2 linked regions of the Saccharomyces cerevisiae S288C genome follow. The protein of the gene in region 1 interacts with the protein of each later gene in a pairwise test. Each region holds a gene or a part of one and is shown on either strand. Other genes may lie near its edges.

Region 1 (3,051 bases):
TGCTAGAATCATGAAGAACCTGCCTATGCAAATTGGAAGTCTCCACCACATCGTTATCTACTATGCCTATTTGGCCCACGCCAGCGCCCGCTAAGTAGGGCAAGGCGGGACATCCCAAACCTCCAGCACCAACTACCAAAACTTTTGTATTTTTCAACTTGACTTGACCTGCTACACCACCTGTTTCTTCAACAATCATTTGTCTTCCGTAACGTTGGTATTCTTCCAAAGATAATGGGTAGTCGCGGCTGCTGTCTTCTCTCTTGGCAAGCTGCTCTCTTAATTGTGCATTCTCCAATCTTAATGCTTCAAGTTCAGACGTGGTATCCTCGAGATGGTAGTCATTCATTGTTATTGACTTCTATTTACTTCCTTTTGCAGTCAACGGCATCAGCTTAAGTCACTCTTATTACTAAGCTAAGGAATATTTCATATCGAAGAGCTCATTGCACCGATTCGTAATGAGCGATATATAAACTCTATATAACAAACATGGTATATTATACTACCTTCTGTTTGACAAAGAAATTCTTGAGATAGCGTAGCTGGAAGGCACAGGTGCCCAGCAATATGAGAAGTTGGAACACAGACCACGTCATTATCTTGCTGTTAGCTGATTCACTTTGATTTCTGAATTCTGCCTCTTTTTCTCTGATAGCGTCTTGCTCCTTACGAATAGAAGATAGCCTTTGAGTCAACTGGCCTACCCTCCCCTTAAGTGAATTCATATCTTCTTTTTTCTTGCTGTCAAGCGCTTCAACATTGCCAATTTCTAGTTCGATGAATACTCTTAGTGTGGCTGATTTCTTGCTGTAGAATGGAGTGAAGCAAAATCTATGTTCACCTGTGTCTAAAGCTGTAAAAGTAACATCACCTGTGTGTGAGTTTTTTTGATTTAGGACACGATGGTCGTTATCGAATGTTTCATCGACAGTTATTGTCAGACTGGATTCAGGGTCCTCTTCAAACAGACCATCCTTTTCTACATATAGGTCTAAATCCCCAATCAGTAGGTTTCCCCGGGATAAGTGTTCATAGAAGCATTTGGTTTCCCCGGACTTCGCATAAAAATGGACAGCCCCTACAGCTTGGGTAATAGCAAATAATAGGCAAATTCCATGCACTATATTATATTTCATAGTAGCCTGTGAGACACCGAATGCTTGATGTGTTCCCTTAAGTAACTAGTAGTATTACACTACAAAGCTCCTCTTTTTTTGTCTCAAACGGAAAAGAATAAAACGCGAGAAAGAGACAGTGGAAAAACGCGTCAGATTGTTCTTTGTGATGCTTTTAATGTAGAAGAAAGGACAACTAAAAACATTTATATACAAGATCGTAAGTGGTACTCATCTAGTCATCCTGAAAGAAAGCCGCATATTGGCTTACCTCTTCTTGAAAAAAATCAGTAAACCTGCTGGGTGTATAATAAGAAAGATCCTCACAAATTGGGCTTGGCTCCTGCTTATCCGCAGAGATCTCTATGTAATCATCTAAAAACCTTAGAGGGGGGAGCCGTTCTGGTTCGGTGTCCAATGTAACATTCAGATCGCTGAAAAAAATGGTAGAGCTGCTATCGATAGCTTTTGCTAAGTCAGCAATTATTTCCAGTTCCTGCTGGTATAATATGCTTGCAACTTTTGAATCACTGGTAGGCCTAATAATTTTGGATCTACGAAACTCTAAAAATTTACGAAAGAAACTGGTAAACTGGGATTTGGTTTTGGTTGAGTCTTGCATTTCTTCTTGTTTAAGTACAGCGACCGCATCTTCACTGCATATATGTCTTTGCCGTACACAATCGTTTTCTGTATCTTTGTAACGCAATGACCAAGCTAGTGGCGGTAAATTTATGAAATCGTCACCATTTGACTCTTTCTCTTTAATGAGAGAGCGGTAGTTTTCTGCAATCATTAACGCATGTTCGTTGGCCTCGGGATTTATCAGACAATGGATTTTCGTGAACATCAAATGACATGTGGAATCGTACGCCCACCGAGCAATTTTGCCATCATCTATCGATGGAATGAATGGGAGCAAAAGCATATCAAATTCAGGCGTGGTGTCATTGAGAAACCAGCGAGTCTTTCCGTTGTGCTCGTATTTAACTAGTGGTACCACTGGATTTATGTGCATCCATTTGTAAAACAATCTTAAATTTGTAGTTTTATCTGGTCCATCATAGTTTCTTAAAAAGCACCTGTCAAAGGATACAGTCCAAAATTGGGAATTCCCTCTAAAATCTGGGGTGAATCCATATGTTACAAGCATGGAAAATAAATCCTCTGTTGGTGAGTAACTAATGAAAACTTCAATAGGTTTTGTGAGTTCACTTTGGACCGCTTTTGTATCCAATAGAAGTAAAACGTCATTATTTGAAGGGTCGATGTCAAAATAAGCATTTTTTTGGGTGCCTTCATGGTTGGCAAAATCTACAATAGGGACTAAAGTAGAATGGACCGTGAATTCTTCACTTTTGGTATCGGCCCTTTCTGGTATCTCTAAACAACGTGAAATTATTGCAGAATAAAGATGTTTGATATCACTTAAATTCAAGACGTCGTGAAACAGTTCTTTAAATAAATTTAGCGTCTCTCGAAGGCCAAAAATCTGTGGATAATGTCCATAATCAGTAGCTAAGTTTTCAATAGAATCCATGGCTGTTTCTACTTCAATGCTCATTAAAACATTTTCTAAATAATATTGGATATTTTCGGGAATCTCATAACGACTACGAATAGTTTGAAATATCATGAAATAAATTATGAGTAAATTTGTTTCTGTCAGGAACACACTGAAATTCGGATGAGCCATTATTTCACGAAGAGCAATCTTAATTTTGTCATTAGTTCTTTGAAATTCTTCCTTTGAAGAAAATTCGTCCTCATCTCCCAAGAGAGCCAGAAGTGTGTTTATATTAAACGTGCAGCGCTTAGGGATTCGGAGCAATTGGATAGTTTCACTTTTCAATTCATCATTCTTGAACTTCGAAGGTTCTACGAAAAGGCCATATCCACTTTTGGGGTCATCAATGGTGGATGGTTTTAATGA
Region 2 (4,061 bases), on another chromosome or scaffold:
AACGATCCAAAGCACAACTTTGTAGCGGGAAGTCACAAACAAATATAAAAAGTGTTAATAAACTGCCATCCTATGTTAGAATTGTGAAACTTTTTGGACTAATAAAAGGTTTTCAACATGGTGTTCCAAAGCACTTATTTCTAGGTTAGCTATGGTAACGAGTTTTAACGTAATCAAAACAATATACAATTCAAGATCTGTATCATTTACACTAACACACCCCATTTTAATAGAGCTGAGTACTTCCTACATTTCTTTTGCATATGATATCGCCACTGCATCATTTCTGTAGTCGTAAAATTTCCTTCTCATTAAGACACCGAAAATAGCTAAGGATTATAACAAAACAAACAAATGCTCAAACAAAACTTTTAGTAAATCTTTTGAAATGTAAAAGTTACTTAGAATAACTAAAAAAAAAATATTACGCTATACCATATATTTCCATTCCCAATTTTATCGTTTTATAATAATATTCAGTTTCAAGAACAATGAATATATTTCAAACATTACATGCACTCTTGGGAGTAAGCTGCATCATAATAAATTAAAATTAACGCTTTAGAAAAAGAAATTTTGAGGTTAAAGGATGGAGGAAGAAATCGATACCAATTTCAACTTTGATCGACCTGTCTGACTGAAATTATTTCTGCGTTTTTCTTACTACAATTAGTACCATTCTCTTCAACTTCAATAGTTCTAACCATTGATTCTTCATCTGTCTCATCAAATCCCATCTTACCAGTCCAGCCATTGGATACCAAATAGTTGTGAAATTCAACGTCTTGCTTCATTAAATCGCTTTCAAGAGAATGTGGAACAAAGAAATATGTAATAATGATACCAATAAGACCACAAATTGCAGCAATAATAAAAGTCCATCTTGCACCCAAATTATCCCTAATGGGTTGGAAACATTCGACGCCTACTACAGAACCGATTTTACCAGTCACAGCAGATAAACCATAGAAAACACCTCTAACAGCGGTTGCTGACGCTTCACTACTAATAACACCAAGCATATCACCTGGTCCAGCATTACCTAACATATTCATGAATGCGTAGAAGATAATAAACAAGGGGGTGATTTTTTTCAATTGGTCGTACGCACATCCAATGATTAGACCAAAGATGATGTACCCAGAGAAACCAAACATCAACGTATATTTACGACCAATACGATCGGACAGATAAGCACCAATTGGTACACCCAGTACAGCTAAAACTCCCAACAGTAAGTTCCACTCTGCCACTTTTACTAAATCATTTTGGTCCTTGATAACGGAACTGATAATTGTTGAACTGAAAATACCATTTGGGAAGGTAACAAAATCATACATAAACCATGTACCACATGTACCAAGTAACCTTTTCCAATAAAATTTCAATGCTAGGAAATATGGTATATTTCTCTTGATTCTACCTTTTTCATAGACTTCTGTAGTAGCAGTCTTCCATCTAAAATAGAACACACTCAATGGCCAGAAGCACCCTATTGCAAAAACAGTCCTCCAGATCGCCTCTAAATGTTTTGTTCCTGAACAGATTTTGTAGACGATTAAAAAGATGATCGTAGCAAATGGACCACCGAAGGCTAGTGGCAAATTTGTCACCATAACCAGGATACCACCTCTTTTGGTAGTGGTATATTCATTAGCAGACTCATTAGCACTTAATGTACTGGTAGGATATTCTGCACCAACACCAATACCTACCAAACCTCTCATAACTGTTAACATCCAAAACATGCCAGGTACAGTAGTACCGTGAGAGGCAGCACACAGAGCACTACCAATAACCAAGATAGCAGTGGCCACAAGGATACAAGATTTTCTACTATAATAATCAGCAGCGATACCCATAAAGAATTGGCCAAAAATAATACCAACTAGGGCTGCGTTGGAAACTCTAGTCGACACTTTTGAGCTATAGTTTTTCTTACCGTACTCCATAACAAAAACCTTGTTTAGCATACTCATTGAACCATTTACGTAACCATCACTTATCAGAGCAAAACCGGACGCAATGATTGTAACTATGTTTTTCCATTTATCTTTCTTTGAGGTTTCAGTACGGGTTGCACGCCTCTCGGCATCATATTTTATTATTCTAGGATTAGTGTTCTCGTTCACTTCCTTCTCATTTACCGATGTGATATCTTTGTCTTCCATTTTTTATCCTATTCTATTTTTTTGATTATAAGCAAAAAGATCAACTCACGTCTGCGGCTGGTTGACTAGTCACAAGAAACAGATAATAAATACTGTAACGAACATCTGCTACAACTACATTCATCGGGGTTTATATATTCACGAGTTTCCTACTTCATCCAGACACATTCTGGATGTCTTCCAGCAGATGTCCCTCATCAAAGAATTAAGATAGCCAGATTGAAAAACTAGGTTAACCAGAGAACTAAGTTAACTAATGTTGGAAAATAATCCTACGATACAGTGGACGGAATGCCCATATGCCTATATAATCAATCCATGCTAAGGTGGGGGTCCAGTAAGGAAATTCATGAATATGAAGATAAATGTGGCACCAAACGGCAACGCGGAAGACCGTAGGATCCAATCATATAACCCCTATTATTCTAACATCATTGCTGTTGGGTACAACATTCTACGCCGCTATTACTACGTGCTGCTTCTTTTGATTCTCTGCTTTCTTTACCGTCATGCACGTGCGCCGCGAAAAGTATTAATCATGCGGACACTCTGGCATTTAGGGGATACTGTCAAAAAGACTATGCTCAATACTGTCATATTCATATGCACGTTCTTTTTTTAATTTATCTTGGCAAAACGTGGGGCTGGAACTTTTGAAACGCACTGCAACATCTGTGGCTGTACAGTCAAGAAAAGTAAGTACTCATCGTCATGCTCTAATGTGTATATGGTATTTGTGGTGCAGACACCATTAGAAGTATAGTTCACGAAATGATGACACGATAGCATGTGCTTTTCGACGGCTGATAACCTTGTATTCTCTTATTTTTGTATTCTTTTCGTAAGCGGCATTTGTTTGCAGAACCTTATCGCAGATATCGATAAACATTTGTTGACAATTCTTTTTCGCTCCCCTTCTTTTTGTTTATCTTCGTTATATTCAATAGTCTACATACACTAACCGTTGAATTGTTGCAAACAAATACTAATAAAAATCTATATATAGTAAATTGAAGATGTACTGATCAGTCTATCATTGTTTAGTGCACCCAGACTCGAATCTTAAATACCACTTTACACACCTACTAAATTTTGTCCTCACAAAATGAAGACAGGATTCAAAACCGATTAATAGTAGCAGAAACTAAAAAAGTACGAATATTAGTAAAATTCATGTTCTTGAATCGAGCTACTATCTTTGTCGGGAGGGTAAACGATTATAACTCAAAATGACTGGAACTGGTGATTATTAATTTTTACGTTTCCTGTGCCAATAAGCGGAAGATAAGAGGATAGAAGAAAAGAAAGGCGGCACTTGGCGAACTACAATGGCGATTATATTCATGGCGATTATATTCATACAAAGGTAATGGAGGCCTCGGATAATGGACAATATTGAGAAAATCCTTATGCTTACTTCTCTTAATAAAAAATAGACACAGCCATTTATTATGCGTAAAAAAGATTACCCACTTGTCTTCGATGCGTGCTGCTGCCAATCAACCTTTTGAGCGGAACTTCGAGCTCGCAATGCGTCTGGAATGTTGCTAGAGACAGTCTTGGTTATCTGTGACATGTGTTTCGTTCAGGCGTGTGAGCATCTTCTTGTTCGATTTCAAAATTACCGCCTTGACTCGTGAAACTGGATAATTCGTTGGCGTTTTCATATAAGTCGTCTGATGGCGAAAACTTTTCCTTTACTTAGCATACAGCAAATATCCCCATTTGACGGATTTTTGAAAAATGAGCCCGCTAACCCAGAATGAACTGCATTACCAAGCATTTATGTAAACGTTCCGCCACCATCTTTGGTAAGGTATACTATTATGTTCTGGATTTAAGGTTGATTCACAATTTTTCATCACCAAAATCTGGTGGCATGCCTAGTTG

The links.
Region 2: the proteins of ERP5 (region 1) and GIT1 interact in a protein complementation assay, tested with the Saccharomyces cerevisiae proteins (one large-scale study listed by BioGRID).

What each region holds. Positions count from the first base shown.
Region 1 is NC_001140.6:330,370-333,420, reverse strand, and holds ERP5 (Erp5p), read right to left. Parts: upstream 1,140-3,051; coding exon 501-1,139; downstream 1-500. Other genes in the region: UBA4 (Uba4p), read right to left, coding at 1-349; CTM1 (cytochrome c lysine N-methyltransferase), read right to left, coding at 1,354-3,051. UniProt on the Saccharomyces cerevisiae protein: Involved in vesicular protein trafficking.
Region 2 is NC_001135.5:296,435-300,495, forward strand, and holds GIT1 (Git1p), read right to left. Parts: upstream 2,172-4,061; coding exon 615-2,171; downstream 1-614. UniProt on the Saccharomyces cerevisiae protein: Glycerophosphodiester transporter that mediates uptake of both glycerophosphoinositol (GroPIns) and glycerophosphocholine (GroPCho) as sources of the nutrients inositol and phosphate.